Linked DNA regions of Caenorhabditis elegans. The protein of the gene in region 3 interacts with the protein of the main gene of each other region in a pairwise test. Each region holds a gene or a part of one and is shown on either strand. Other genes may lie near its edges. The genes, in order: skr-2, skr-1, cul-1 and skr-10.

What was found.
Region 1: the proteins of cul-1 (region 3) and skr-2 interact in a two-hybrid assay, tested with the Caenorhabditis elegans proteins (3 studies listed by BioGRID).
Region 2: the proteins of cul-1 (region 3) and skr-1 interact in a two-hybrid assay, tested with the Caenorhabditis elegans proteins (4 studies listed by BioGRID).
Region 4: the proteins of cul-1 (region 3) and skr-10 interact in a two-hybrid assay, tested with the Caenorhabditis elegans proteins (2 studies listed by BioGRID).

What each region holds. Positions count from the first base shown.
Region 1 is NC_003279.8:9,468,030-9,471,137, reverse strand, and holds skr-2 (Skp1-related protein), read right to left. Parts: upstream 1,485-3,108; 5' UTR 1,435-1,484; coding exon 1,354-1,434; intron 1,173-1,353; coding exon 903-1,172; intron 858-902; coding exon 684-857; 3' UTR 501-683; downstream 1-500. Other genes in the region: twk-29 (Potassium channel domain-containing protein), read right to left, coding at 2,286-2,362, 2,416-2,632, 2,680-2,875, 3,015-3,105.
Region 2 is NC_003279.8:9,469,601-9,473,211, forward strand, and holds skr-1 (Skp1-related protein), read left to right. Parts: upstream 1-1,949; 5' UTR 1,950-1,963; coding exon 1,964-2,044; intron 2,045-2,228; coding exon 2,229-2,504; intron 2,505-2,549; coding exon 2,550-2,723; 3' UTR 2,724-3,045; downstream 3,046-3,611. Other genes in the region: skr-2 (Skp1-related protein), read left to right, coding at 104-184, 366-635, 681-854; calm-1 (EF-hand domain-containing protein), read right to left, coding at 3,097-3,314, 3,609-3,611. UniProt on the Caenorhabditis elegans protein: Probable essential component of SCF (SKP1-CUL1-F-box protein) E3 ubiquitin-protein ligase complexes, which mediate the ubiquitination and subsequent proteasomal degradation of target proteins.
Region 3 is NC_003281.10:10,469,535-10,475,692, reverse strand, and holds cul-1 (Cullin-1), read right to left. Parts: upstream 4,457-6,158; 5' UTR 4,456-4,456; coding exon 4,328-4,455; intron 4,274-4,327; coding exon 3,043-4,273; intron 2,521-3,042; coding exon 2,059-2,520; intron 1,900-2,058; coding exon 1,573-1,899; intron 1,518-1,572; coding exon 1,455-1,517; intron 941-1,454; coding exon 809-940; 3' UTR 564-808; downstream 1-563. UniProt on the Caenorhabditis elegans protein: Probable core component of multiple cullin-RING-based SCF (SKP1-CUL1-F-box) E3 ubiquitin-protein ligase complexes which mediate the ubiquitination and subsequent proteasomal degradation of target proteins.
Region 4 is NC_003282.8:15,944,807-15,947,943, forward strand, and holds skr-10 (Skp1-related protein), read left to right. Parts: upstream 1-2,000; coding exon 2,001-2,579; downstream 2,580-3,137.

The DNA.
Region 1 (3,108 bases), on a different chromosome or scaffold from region 3:
TTGCAGATATTCAGAGATAATGTTTTTTAATTATATAAAATTAAAAAGAGAGCGGACGGCGTACATAATATAGTCTTTTCAGCGAATATCGGCACTCGATTTTTGATAGATAGAAAAAGGAGAATATCAGGAAAAAAAAAATGAAAGAAATGGAAAAAATAGATCTCGTTTTAAAGATATCGCAACTTTCAGTTAAATGCGGGGATTTAGCAGCGTCAGGCGCAATATGCGATAAAGTCATGTAAATACATTACTTGAATAACCCCATTCGCAATTAATCACAGAAAGTAATTTTCATTCACACGATCCGTAGCTTTTAAAACTGAGAAAAGTATTGTTTTTTTATTTATTTCGAAATCTACGCGCGCGGAAAACGAAGCAACTTTGGCCTAGAATTTCACATCTCGTCATCTTCCATTTCAAAAGTGAAGGATCTATAGTCCTGTTCAGACTAAAAAATACTATTGCTGTGGCTTTAAAACCAATTGCATTGTTTGCAATTTTCATGTTCACATCAACTTTATTGAATGAAAAACAGAACTGTACACAGTTGTGTCAGCTGGCAGTGAAGAAATTTGTTAACAATTAAAAAGTGCGTTTAATAAGGGGAAAGATATGGTGGATGATGTGAAACATTTAGAAAACAAGGTAATTGAAAGTTTAACAGGGGAAAAGATGGAGATTTAATCATCGCACCAGGCGTTTTCCTTACGGATTTGCTCTCTCTCCTCTGCAGTGAAGTCGTCCTTGATGTTGAAAGCACGACGAATTTCATCTGGAGATTTTCCCTTGATCATGTTGGCGACAGACTGGCAGGCGACATCAAGAAGTCCTTTGATGTCCAAATAGTTGGCAGCCTGAAAATAGGAATTTAAAATATTGCAACTAAAATAACAAGTTACCAAAATGAGCTCGAAAAGGGTTCCTTGGTCAATATCGAGAAATTTTTTGTCCCAGTCTTGGATGGAACCATCCGTTTTCTTCTCACTGTCTTCAGTTGGAATTGGGTCGGACTGGTGTTTGGTGCACCAGTTGATAACCTTCTTCAAAATCGAGGCAGTGACGTTTTGCACTGGAATTGGCTCAGCGTTGGTTCCTTCATCGTCGTCGAGCCCGAGGTCCACAAGAAGAGTGTTGAGAGTGTTTGAGAGACGGATCACATTGCGTGGGACCTGGAAGTTCAGATTGCAATTTTTCCCATGCCATCTAGCGTACAGTGCCGCTTTTTTTGTTGATTTATTAAAAATCAACTAGGCTACTAAACATTTTCTATAAGAACTGCGAAAGCGTCTTATCGACCCGAAGCCTAGTTTTTCAGATAAAAATGACAATAACAAACGAATTTCAGCTTACCAAGAAGATTTCATCATCCGAAGACGAGATCTTGATTTCGCGGTTCTTTGCTGCTTCGGATGCTTCCTTTTGGTCAGCCATCGTGTTGTAGTTGACTGGAATTAAAATTAGTTGTGACAGGGTCACTAACGAGAGAAGTGTACAAAAACCACGCGGAAAAAACAAAGCAATGGTTTCGTTGGAATTCTATCAGAATATCTGCAAAATAGAAAAACTATAACTAAAATAATAAGAAGAATGATTGAGAATACAGGAAAAAGATACTGGAATGAATTCTCAACGTCAATAAAAATCTGCTACTTATTGGTAGTCATCGAAAAATTTTAGCCAGAAAAATTGTATTTGAATATATTTCGAATTTGGTTGATGCTCAAACTACAAAACAATCAAGCACACCTGTATGTGAAAACATTTCAATTCTGGATAATTTAAATACTCAAGCTTCAATCATCCATCTATACATTGAGACGATTCACAAGAAATAGAAATCGCAACAAAAAATATTTGAAGACAAAAAAGAAAGTCGTTGAATGAACAACTCTTCGAAAAGCAAGTGACGATTGTTTGTTTCTTTCTCGAAGAAAACTAAAATTATAAATTTTATATAAAATTAGGAAAGAGAAAGTGTGCATTTTTATGTCGCGGTGTTTACGGAATAGTTTACCGTAACTTTTTGAAAACTTTAAAGAAATTGAATTCCTTCTGCGGGCGCAGTTTCTTCGAGAGATAGTAAATAAAATTGAGTTTTATATAATAAAATTGTATTATCAATTTTAAATATTCGATCTACCGACTTCACAAAAATAATAATGCTGTAAAATGTAATAATGTAGCTGGGAAAAGTTATATATGTTTTGTTTATGTCTATTTTTTTAAAGAAATTTTTAAAAAGTATTTATTTGAGATTTAAGAAAAGAAGAAAAAACAAAATGCTATGCATCTGTAGAAAGATCAGAGGTGATAGTTGTTGAAACATTCATAACGCCGTCGTGGCAAGCTTGATCTGAGTCTGAAATTGATTTCGTTAAAAATTCCCATTCACTTCAATTCTAGATAACATACCAGTTGAACCATTCAATTTGGCTTGCATTGCTCTTCGGCGTGGAATTGGAGACAATCGGGACGATGTGGTTTGTGATTTATCAGCAGCTGTTTCAGAATCAGATGTATCCTCTATTTCAGACATCATTGGTTCATCTTCAAAATGAACTGAAAATTTCTTAGGCCTCATATCAGTGAGATCATCTTCCGAATCGACAAAAAGTGGGAATTGACCATCCTGAAACATTATTTTCTTCGAATACTATAAAGTTTCAAATATCTCACTTTCATAAAAAGAGGAACAAGTTCTGGAGGCCATATTCCCTCAACAATCATATGTGTTTGAGGAACTCTTGAAAGTCTTCCCAATTTCACTTGAATTGCTGTTTTAACCAATGTATCAATATCTATGTCTGCTATCACATTCTGATCAATTCCAATATTCTGTCCAACTGCTGTGATGAGTTCTCGTACTTCCAAACTAAAAATATTAGCGATACAATTATTTTCTTTAATTAAAAGCTTTTTGACAAAAATAGAGAACGTTGTTATAGAAACAAATCGTAGCTAAAAGTTTTAGAACCAAATGAAACAATTTACGTCTCCTTTGCCAAACCCACTTCCTGGCACCGAACCAAATCCGAATGTTGGCAATGTTTTTTATTTTTTTGCCAATAAAATGTAGCTTTCGAACATAAATTGATCCAATATCTG
Region 2 (3,611 bases), on a different chromosome or scaffold from region 3:
TTCCAACGAAACCATTGCTTTGTTTTTTCCGCGTGGTTTTTGTACACTTCTCTCGTTAGTGACCCTGTCACAACTAATTTTAATTCCAGTCAACTACAACACGATGGCTGACCAAAAGGAAGCATCCGAAGCAGCAAAGAACCGCGAAATCAAGATCTCGTCTTCGGATGATGAAATCTTCTTGGTAAGCTGAAATTCGTTTGTTATTGTCATTTTTATCTGAAAAACTAGGCTTCGGGTCGATAAGACGCTTTCGCAGTTCTTATAGAAAATGTTTAGTAGCCTAGTTGATTTTTAATAAATCAACAAAAAAAGCGGCACTGTACGCTAGATGGCATGGGAAAAATTGCAATCTGAACTTCCAGGTCCCACGCAATGTGATCCGTCTCTCAAACACTCTCAACACTCTTCTTGTGGACCTCGGGCTCGACGACGATGAAGGAACCAACGCTGAGCCAATTCCAGTGCAAAACGTCACTGCCTCGATTTTGAAGAAGGTTATCAACTGGTGCACCAAACACCAGTCCGACCCAATTCCAACTGAAGACAGTGAGAAGAAAACGGATGGTTCCATCCAAGACTGGGACAAAAAATTTCTCGATATTGACCAAGGAACCCTTTTCGAGCTCATTTTGGTAACTTGTTATTTTAGTTGCAATATTTTAAATTCCTATTTTCAGGCTGCCAACTATTTGGACATCAAAGGACTTCTTGATGTCGCCTGCCAGTCTGTCGCCAACATGATCAAGGGAAAATCTCCAGATGAAATTCGTCGTGCTTTCAACATCAAGGACGACTTCACTGCAGAGGAGAGAGAGCAAATCCGTAAGGAAAACGCCTGGTGCGATGATTAAATCTCCATCTTTTCCCCTGTTAAACTTTCAATTACCTTGTTTTCTAAATGTTTCACATCATCCACCATATCTTTCCCCTTATTAAACGCACTTTTTAATTGTTAACAAATTTCTTCACTGCCAGCTGACACAACTGTGTACAGTTCTGTTTTTCATTCAATAAAGTTGATGTGAACATGAAAATTGCAAACAATGCAATTGGTTTTAAAGCCACAGCAATAGTATTTTTTAGTCTGAACAGGACTATAGATCCTTCACTTTTGAAATGGAAGATGACGAGATGTGAAATTCTAGGCCAAAGTTGCTTCGTTTTCCGCGCGCGTAGATTTCGAAATAAATAAAAAAACAATACTTTTCTCAGTTTTAAAAGCTACGGATCGTGTGAATGAAAATTACTTTCTGTGATTAATTGCGAATGGGGTTATTCAAGTAATGTATTTACATGACTTTATCGCATATTGCGCCTGACGCTGCTAAATCCCCGCATTTAACTGAAAGTTGCGATATCTTTAAAACGAGATCTATTTTTTCCATTTCTTTCATTTTTTTTTTCCTGATATTCTCCTTTTTCTATCTATCAAAAATCGAGTGCCGATATTCGCTGAAAAGACTATATTATGTACGCCGTCCGCTCTCTTTTTAATTTTATATAATTAAAAAACATTATCTCTGAATATCTGCAACTCGAAATTTAGTAAATATACCGTTCCTCCATTATCTTTCTAGTATTTTTTTAAAGACTTTGTCCATCCAATAAATTGTCATATTTGTCAATTCGTTCCCGCATTGCGTTCTATAACGATCGATAACTCTGCGTCTCTTCCTTTGTGTGTACACTGTTTCCTCGCTTCTCTACACTGTTTCCTCGCTTCTCTCGCATCATACGACACACTCACATTCTATTCGCTCATTTCTCAACGTTCTCATTCTATTTTTCGTTGTTTTTCTTTGTTTTGCAGGTATTTTGCGTTGGAAAATTTAAAACTTTTAATTTTTCTCGATGGAAATACTCTTAATCGTTCTTTTTTTTTTCTACCTGTTCTTCTTTATTATTTGTATGTAATCGTTCTTTTCACAATAATTTCTCAATTTCAATCGATTTCAACGCGATGGCTGATCAAAAGAAAGTATCCGAGGCGGCAAAGGAACGCGAAATCAAGATATCGTCTTCGGATAACGAAATCTTCTTGGTAAGATTCAAATTATTCCTTCGTTTTCGTTATTTTTGTCTAAAAAAACTAAATCGATAAGCCGTGCTGCATGCATGCGCGCGTAGAGTTTTGCTTCTTGGTATCCTAGGTGATCTGACTTATAGAAAAATAGACAATGTTAAATGTTCCACTATATTTGAAAATTCACAAACTAAACTTCCAGGTCCCACGCAATGTGATCCGTCTCTCAAACACTATCAACACTCTCCTGATGGATCTTGGACTCGACGACGAAGAAGGAACCAACGCTGAGCCAATTCCAGTTCAAAACGTCACTGCCTCGATTCTGAAGAAGGTCATTAGTTGGTGCAACCATCATCACTCCGATCCTATCTCGACTGAAGATTCCGATAACCGCGAGAAAAGAACTGACGACATAGGCAGCTGGGACGTCGAGTTTCTTAAGGTTGACCAAGGAACCCTTTTCGAGCTCATCTTGGTAACTTGTTATTTTAGTTCCAATATTTGAAATTCATATTTTTAGGCTGCCAACTATTTGGACATCAAGGGACTTCTTGATGTTACCTGCAAGACTGTTGCTAACATGATCAAGGGAAAATCTCCAGAAGAGATTCGTCGCACTTTCAACATCAAGAACGACTTCACCCCGGAAGAGGAAGAGCAAATCCGCAAAGAGAATGCCTGGTGCGAGGATTAAATTACCCTTCAGTTTGCCTATTTCTCTATTACATTTCTAAACGACATGTCGCTTCCTTCCCCTTCACACTTCACACATTGTCCTGATATGGTCTCTGTCTATTTTTTACATCATCTCTGGCAGCCCAAAAACTTCTTCCTTTTTTCACCTAATTAAAATGCATCTTTTGAATTTTAACCGCCATTCTATATTTATACCTATAAATCACCGACCGGCAAAAATTATGCAGTGTGAGATTCTCACACATTTCCTCCAATGAACATCAGTGTGTCCTTTACGTGATTGTACATGCCTAAAAATAAAGTTGATGAGACGATACAAAAAACAAACGATTTATGTAAAACATTGAAAAAAATATAACCCGTGAATGTATTTAAATTCTGATATGAAAAGTTCTAATGAAGTCAGGTGATCGAGAGACAACGTGTTCAAATTCTGCGAAGTTTATACTCGAGTCTCCATCCAAATCAGCTTCTTCAATAATTCGTTCAATTATAAATTCAACTTCTACATCACTCAGCTCATCTCTTGTTAAACTTCGAATCATTTTACTCAAATCATCATGTCCAAGAAGTTCATCTCCATCGTAATCTAAAACAATATTTTGATACTAAATTAAATATTATTACGCAGACCTCTAAGGACCGCTATTGCAATATAATTTTATCAGATATAAATGCAAAATTTATGTCATGATTGTTAAAATAACAATATGATATAATACAATTTATTTACGCGAGTTACAGTAACCCGTTGCCGGAATGGCGAGACGTTGCGCGTAAATTGTGGTGAAAATTCGCAACTATGGACGTCTACGTAATAAGAACCATATAACTTTTATGGATTGTTAATATCAAATGATTTTATGTCTAATCTCTTCCTTACCAT
Region 3 (6,158 bases):
TACTGTTATATTTTTGAAATAAACAAATGTTTAAAGTAAAACTTTTTAAAAAAATCGAAGAAAATTACACAAAAACGAAAATTTGAAATTACAGTACTCTTTAAAGGCGCACACCTTTTCACATTTAGCAAAAATTTGTCACGTCGAGACCGGGTACGGAAAATTTCGCGACTGTGTAATAAAAAACAACTGAAAATTCAAATTTCCCGGTCAACGCAACGTGGAAAGTTAGCCTTCAAATAGTAGTCTATAAACAGAGAAGACTGAGCAAAGCATTAGTGTGAAGACTCAGAGCAGTGGGAAAAAGTGCATCTGGTGAACAGACGGAGGGGTCAGAGCAGCAGTAGTGTCTCATCCAAATTGTCTTGTTGTAATAATTCGTCATCGATTTTTTTGTTGTCTGTGGTTCAAGTGACTACTCACCTTTTTGCATTTGGCCTTGAAAAAACTGAAAAATTCACTTGGAAGTTGAATTTTTTTTTAATTTTTCCGAAAAAAGACGAAAAAAAATCAAAAAGGTTTACCGAGTATACGGTTTTTCGAATATTCTACACACAAACGATTTACAAAACCCAGGACCATTTACCAGAGAGCGCAAAATGAAGCCAGGACCCGCTTCTGTAAAGAAGAACAATCGAATAAGGAGGGACTTGGAGAGGAGAATAAGTAATAGAATACAGATGGTGTTGAAGTTTTCAAAAACACGGATATGAAGGGAAGAAGAGGGTGGAGAATAAAACTGGGCGAAAAAAGTAAAGGGGAAAAATAGTTTTTAAAAGAGAAAATAGAATATTTAAAATGAAATGAATTAGGCGAGGTACTCATAGAGATCTTTTTGTCCTTCTGTACGGAGCATATATTCCTTTTCGATGAGTGATCCAATGCATCTCTTGATCATTTCAACCTTTGGCTTGAATCGACCGGAAAGTTGTGTGATCACCTGCAAAAATATCATATTTAGAGGGTTTTAGATGTTTTTTCTTTGAATTTCCAAGTGGAGTTTTTTAAAATTTCAAAGAAAATTCGATTTTTCCGGTGATTTTTTTTTTTCAAATTTCATGGAAAACTTGATTTTCCACGTGGATATCATCTTTTATTTTAGGGGTTTTAATTTATTTCTTCAGAATTTTGTGTTGAAAATGCACTACGAAAGCTCGAAAATTTTGAAGATTTTTTTTTCAATTTTTACAGAGTTTCTACCAATTTCAGGTGAACTTTTTTTTTGAAAATTGAATTTCCAAGAGAATTTTATCGAAATTTCATAAGAAATTCGAATTTCGACGCGTTTTTTTTACGAAAATGTATAGAAAATTTGAATTTCCACGTAGATTTTATCAACAAATTATGAAAAACTCGTTTTTCCATAATCAGATTTTTTTCGAAAGTTCATTAAAATTAAATTTCCACGTAGATTTTATCGATTTTTTTCGAAAATTTGAAATTTCCAAACGAACCTCTGTCATAAGCTGCTGATGCTGTACACGTTTGCGAGTTTTCATGATTCTTACGATGCAAGCCTGAAATTATTGAATTTTTCTCTCCAAAACCGCCGATTTCTCATCAAAAACTTACACTAATCACGCTCTTCCGATCCTCCTCAACATTTTTCTGCACATTTTCCGTATCACGCACGGCGTCCTGCTTCATCGTGAATTTTGACAAATCGACACGAACTTTCTTGTTCATGTAGGCTTTGTTGAGGCTTACGGTCGCCGTCATCGGTACTTCATCCTCTTTTTGGAGTTCTGTGTCCGCTTTGAGCACAAGATTTTTGATGAGAGAGCCGACAATGGCTGGTGCTGACTTTTCGTCCATTTTTGTGGCAGCGGCGATTTGTTCGACAGTGTACGAGTCCTGTTCGTTGAACAAAAGCATTGTGCACATTTGAGCAGTTGTGGCCTGGAAAATTTTAGGTTTTTAGCTGTTATTCGATAAAATCCAAGTGAAAATTCAAATTTTAGCTGGGTGGCAGATAGTAAAATTTTGGACTTTTTTCAGGCATTTTCTTCCGGATTTTTAAAAAATATTTTTAGATAGAAATTCCACGTTTAAACTTACAGTAAACACATATTTCTTGGGAAAAGCTGTAGAAGTGATCTCTCCACGACTCTGCGAGTAAACCCACGTGAGCCGACGTCCATTGAACTTCTCATTGTAGAATTGTCCAAAGATCTCAATAGTCTTCGACAGCTGCTGTGGAAGAGTTATTGGTGTCGTTGGGAAAGTCGGCCATGAGCCCGAACTGAGCACGAGAACATTGAATTCAACGGATTTCTGGCCGAGCATATCCGCTTTCTTTTCCTTGAAATCCGCGGTTAAATCCTTGCTGACTTGAGTATCGTTGACCATTTTCGAGAGACGGGCGGTATACTCGTACCCGCACATACTCTTGAGCTTCGTGATAAAGTTAGCCTCGGCTTCATCACTTGCTGAGAGTTCACTGATAAGTCGTTTGCTGAACATTTTCGTGTAGAATTTGGAGAATACATCCTTATCGTCAATGTACTTGAACACAACCATCTGGAATAGAAATTTTAGAATTTTGAGCTAACTTTTTAGAAATTGGGTTTTCATTTCTATGGAGGTTTGAAATATTTTAAATCTTTTAATCCTTTAATATGGCAATTTTAGATAAAACCTCAAATTTTCCCGTATGTCGGAAATTGATTTTTAATTGATTACTGGCGTTTTTCGTTGATTTAGGTCGATTTATAGCCACATTTAAACGTCAGAAAAAGGTAAATAATTGAAAAGTTGGGAAAATTGCCGTATTTTTCGAAATTTTGAGAAGCCTCGATATGAATCGATATGAAAAAATCGGTATGAAAAACGATATGAAAAAAAGGAGAGGAATCTGTTTTTTTTTTTCAGCGAAAATCTCAAATTTAGCCAACTTATCAGTTTCGCAGTGTGCACTCATCGATCGAAAATGTTCCTCAATCAACGAAATAAACAACCAAAATATGCAAAAAGTTGGTTAAATTTCAAATTTTAGCTGGAAATTACGCCATTTTGAGAAAAAAAAAAGCGAGAAAAACCTACAATCTTCGTCTGCAACTCCTCGAGCTCCGCCTCATCGGGCATCTTCGAGCTTTTTCTGAGCAGTTGATCACAATATCTGGCAAGAAGCTCCGCGGACTTTGTCAACTGAGCCTGTGGCGGGGCACGTTTAGTGACGGCATTATTATTGATAAAAGAAGTCGCCGCCTTATCGAGTGATTGCATGAATCCTGGCTCATTTTTGAATGATCGATTGACAAGGCTTTGATAACGTTCATGAACCTCCAGAAGCGTCTTCACGTAGAGTTTCGCGTCGGTTGCCGCCTCCATAGCAACTCTTTCCAACGCCTGGTGACCCTCCTTTGCGATGTGATTCTCCAGGGATTTTCTGAGCTCGTCGAGTCCATTCGGCACTCTATCGCAAAGCTTGAACATTCTGGAAAGGTCATCGTCTCGTTTATCGACAAGAAGACCACCGAAGTGTCTCTGGAGGAAGTCAAGCTGATTAGAGATGAGCACAGATTCACAGCAAGTTGCAAGTGGAGTTTTTGTGGAAGAATTCAGGTAGAGTTGACAGCGATCATCCTCTTGATTAAGTCTTGTCTCCACTTTAATCATGTAATCTGTCACATTTCCTCCGTTGCTCAGGAAATTTGCCGCCTCTTGGGTATAAAATCCGCGGGTCGCCTCCAAAAACTTGACTTCGAAGAATTCCTTGTAAACGGCCAGCTTCTTGGTCTCCGCGTCCTTCTTCGCATCGGTCTCCGAATCGTCAACACCCAACTCCACAAGACACTCGACAACTCCAGAAATGTATCGGCTGTTGATCATGGATCCGGTTCTCTCGGAACGAATCAGCTCGAGCATCGCATCAATCACCTTATCCTTAAGATCATTGAACAAGTTACGCTTCCAGACGACCAACGCAAGTGTATAAACCATGTAAATGTTCTCATGGCCCTCGTCGAGCTCACGTCTGATCCAATGACGATTGAGGTAGGCAAAAATACCATCCATCACCTTCGACGAGATTCGGAAGTTCTCCCATTCAGTTGTGTAGTATTTCAGAAGATCCTCGCCCGACAACTCGGCGCCCTTTTCACAAACAGCGATTACGTACGCTTTTACATATTCCTCAACACGCTGGTACATCTCGTGACCGACAAAATCCGCGCCAGCGGTTCGTGCTGGAGTTGAAGATTCTGCTCGACCGTCTTCGCCGTCTCGGCGGCTTGTGGACAATGTTATCGATGTGCAGTAGTCATAGACGCTTCTGAAAATTAAAGATTTTATTGAGTTTCTGTGGAATTTCGGGGGGAAATCTTACGTGTAAAGAGTCATATAGTCTTTTGGCGCCATATTTTCTCTGCGATACGCTACATCAAGTCCATCTTGTAATTTCTTCCAAACCACCTCGGAATCACACGTCATTCTTCTCGGTTCGCTATTTGTCATACTGAAAAACACATTTTTAAAAAATAATTGTCGATTAAAATCAAGGGATTTGTCAATTTCGCAAGAAACAGAGGAACGAGGAAACAAGGGCCCAAACGCAAACGCGCTCCAATCCAAAATCATCATGTGTTGGGAAAAAGTCACCGAAGGTGGAAATAATGGGCTTGAAATTGAGAAAATTTATGAGATCCCGGAAAAATAGATGTTTTCAAAAAAATTGGAAAACTGGAGCAAAATTGGGGGAGAAATATAGATATCCTGGAAGAATAGAAAAAAAAGACGAAAATCCAGAGCCATCACTGAATGGGGATACTTGTGAGCCAGCAGACGTTAGAAATGACTCGATAGTGAGCCTCCGACTGGAAATTAAGAAGACGCGCTGAAAATCGCGGGAAGACAGTAAATCGATTGCCCTCGGACGCGATTCTCACCGCAAATCGATAAATTTAACTGGGAATTGGAGGGAAAATAGGAGATTTTCTAATTTGCTAGCCTGGGAAAAGGGGAAATTAAATAAATACATAAGGAAATTGTTCCAGCGATAATTCTAGCTTTTCAAGTGATACTGGGGAAATAAATTAAATTGTTCTTAACAGGAGATTTTCAAAAACTCTGTGAATTTTGGAAAATTTTCAGATGAAAGACACCTAAATAATAATAATTTTAGACTATTTCATTTTCCCCGGGACTCAGGAATTTCCAAGAACAGAAAAAAAGCGAATTTCAGTTGATTTTTCAGAGCCCATTTCAGTGAGCTAAACACCCTTGGAGACGGAGACTGCGCGACACAAGCTAGAGACGCCTCATCTTGTGTCTTCATCGATTCTTAAAGAAATTCTGGTGAGTACAATGGTTCTGTTAGTGCACAAAAGACAGCTGAGATGGCGGGATGATCTGGAAAAGAAAGGTCACAGGAGGGAATGATTAGCGGCTGTGCAATGAACGGGCGGAGTTTTCTAAGGTTTTAACAATAGCAAAGTTTGTTTTTTAGGTGTTTCGATGTGCAAAATACACGAAAGCGAATTTTTAATAGTTTAAAGTTGAAAAACGCGTTTTCATTCGAGAAAAACTGGAGAAAACATGCATTTTATGCAGAAAAAAAAGTAAAAAAAGAATTCGATAAAACAACAGGTGGAAAACAGATTTTTAACTGTACATCGATCCTGGCGATGCCCAAAGGAAATTTTAATTAGTGGAAGTAATAATCGAAGTACTGTAGAACTAGGTTTTTTAAACAGGAGCCCATAAAACTGTAATCATTTTTTATATTTCTATTGCGGAAAAGAGGAGAAATTATTCTTTCACAAATAAATAGACAAAAACTGAAAAAAAATGAACAAAAATCGCTGTAAAACTCGAAACAGTTCTTGGCGGGACTCGGTAAACTTATTAGTTCGTGCGCCTTTAAAAAGATACTGTACCTGGAATAACAAGAAAAAACAACATTAATTAAATCTAAGAACATTTTGTATTCTTACAAGACTTACATGATTTATCAGAATATGTTGCAACTATTTGGTATAAAATAGGAAATAAATAGTTTTAGAATTTTCACCGTAATCATATGATCGGTGAACAACGGCCGTGAAAAATAAAAAATATTTTAAAATGTGAATAACAAAAAACCAATACATAAAAGGATTGAATAAATAATTAAATTTATTTCAATATTTCGAAAAGCTACATTTCTCTATTAGCTACAC
Region 4 (3,137 bases), on a different chromosome or scaffold from region 3:
TCGATTGGAACGCTGCGTTTGTTAAAAAAATATTGATTAGTTTTCCACAGGGAGATGATGAGAAATGCCGTCAAGTTAAACGCGACGAGAAAAAGAAAATTTGACTGTTTCAATTGGTTGTTATAAACTTGGATACGATTTATATAGTATTAATACTGAACTAATTATACACATTAGAAATACTATAGGAATATGACAAGGAAAGTGCTGGAAATTAACTCAAAGATGCATACGTTTTTGTAATTGGAGAGGTGAAAAAAAAATTACTGTTTCTAAAATATACCAAATTTCGGGTAAAAATTAGGGGGTATTTCTCGGGAAAAAAATATTGGACTAATTTGCAAAGAATCAAAATTTAGGTCCGTTTTTATAAAACTGTTATGTTTGTTACTGTATTCTAGCAACTATGTTAATATTTGATCTACAAGTCTCAGACGTAGCAAGGTAGCAACCAAATTGAATTAAGTCGGAAATGGAATAAAAAATTGGAGAAACAAATAGAATGCATTGAAAAATGGAAAAAAAGAAAGAACAAAAAATGCGACTACTCACAATGAGAAGAGAATGTATAAATGACTCCTCACAATCAGGCAGACTGTTTTTTTCCAGAAAACGACTGGGACGCTGCAAATCTAGGTCAATTATTGATATTGGGTAGAGAGAGTTCAATGCATTTCTAGGAGGTTTAGAAAAACAGACAGTGCACCTGCTCTAGGATTTCCCTAACAAAGGTCTTTTCTCTCTAAACCTCGCCTATAACACAATGTCTCATCTCATCCTGTCAAAATTTGACCTACATTTCCAGCGTTTTTAACCGAAGCCAGTTAGGCTATTGGTCATTCTTGCATTTAGCTCTCACCCTGGGCAGCTGCATTTTATTTTTCCTTCTTTTTAAATTTTTTTTTTTTTTGGTTTTTCGTTCTTTTGTTTTATCAATGACCCAGAATCTGTTTGTCTGAAAACCTTAAACTTTAAGCATTCAAAGTTCTAGTCCAATTAAAAATGTTGAACTCTCTAAAACTATAATACCTGTTTGATGCAGTTTTTATAATAAACTATTTTTGAACAAATCCCGATCGAGAAATAAACTTGATAATTACTTAAAGTTGTACCACTAATAAAACCGAAAAATCACTTTAAAATTCGATTACCTATAACCTTAAAAAATATTCTGATCTTCTAAAAACCTCCTAAAATGTAATTTGAGAAAATGTCGCAATATTGCAAAAAAAATTTAAAATCAATTCTAAATTTTGCTATTTCGAGGTGTTATCAAATTTTAGCGCAAGCCTTATTCGAATATTGCATTGGGATTTGCTTTCTTCTTTTTTTTTGTAAAATTCATATCGAGGATATGTAAACCAGTTTGTCAAATTTGTTGCTTTAAACCCCTTTGGATTAATTTAGGCTTACACTATTTCAGACCACTTTTTGATCGATAAAATATTAGGGGCCTCCTCAACAACCTTGTCGGTTGATATTAAACCTTTTTAGACAAATCGATATTTTTCGAACAAACGCAGCGTTCCATGCTGTTGATTTTGCGTGTATAACTCTTCAATCAACTTTAGATGCAATACTATATAAATCTTATCCAAATGTATAACAACCAGTTGAAACAGTCAAATTTTCTTTTTCTCGTCGCGTTCAACTTGACGGCATTTCTCATCATCTCCCTGTGGAAAACTAATCAATACTTTTTGAACAAACGCAGCGTTCCAATCGATCGATTTCTAACATTTTTTGAGGGATAGTCTGTCTGCAGAGTCATTCTATCGTTTATATCTCATTGTGAGCAGTCGTCTACATTTTTTTCTATCTTTCTATACACATTTCAAAACTATTATCTAACGTTGTTACCCGAAATTATAACAGCTGTTAGATACAGTTCTTTTTTTTACTTTTTGAAATCAGATTTTCCTACATTTTCTTAACTTAATCATCTTTCTTTATTTTTTCAACCCATTATTTTTCCAGAAACTACTCTAAAACTACCAACAATGTCCGCTGAAGTCGCTGCCGTTGAAATCCAAGAAGCTCCAGTTGCTGCTCCAATCATGTACAAAGTTGAATCAAATGATGGAACAGTTTTCGAAATCAGTGATGAAGCAGTAAAACAATCAAATACACTCTCCAATCTAATCTCTACATGTGCTCCAGAAGATGTAGCTTCAATGGATCCAATTCCAATTACAAATGTCACTGGAAACATCCTGAAGATGGTCATTGAATGGTGTGAGAAACACAAAGGAGAAGCACTTCCAGTTGATGATGACAGTGTTCCAAAGCATATCACTGTTCCCGAATGGGATACCAACTTCTTGAAAATCGACAACGAAGTGCTCTTCGACTTGATTGTTGCCTGCAACTACCTTGATGTGCCTGGATTAATGAATTATGGATGCAAGATGGTTGCCATGATGGCTATCGGAAAGTCTCCTGATGAGTTGAGAATCATCTTTGCAATTCCAACTGATGAAGAGGATGAAGCTGCTGAGAGAGCTGCAAAGGAGAAGGCTGAAGCTGAGAAGAAGGCGAATGCTGAGAAGGACGCAGCTGAACCATCGACTTCCAAATAATTTCTATGTATCAAGTGTTTTGTGTTTCTTATCAAATAAATAAGTTTGACTGTAATCTTGTTGACAAACATTACACAAAATTTTTATTAACAGTTTCAAGGTGTTGTTTTGAAGAGTTATTCCTAAAATGAAATATTCCATAGCAAGGTTCTAACACAGAATGCACTTTGACTATCTTCTTGTTGAAACATTTGGAAATTTTGAAAAAAAACATCTACTGTTTCAATATGTTGATTTTAAGAGTGAGGCTAAACAAGCAACAGTAAGTTTTTATTTAACCAAAAGCAATTACGTTTGAAAATGTCACAATTAAACCTTATAAACTAGTGTTGAAAGGGCATTCAAAAAAAAACTCGCGTATCTAGTTACTTTAATTCAAAAAATTCAAAAATACCATGCCACTTTTGCGGAAAAGTTTGCAATTTTGTGCGATGCTCAAAAATGTATTCACATATATCAATTTTTATGTTGGAACGTTTACTACCTAGCAACAAGAACTCCAGTAAGCTTCCTAGTCCTGGTTTTCTACTTTCTTGTTTTTTAAAACAGAAAATGCCA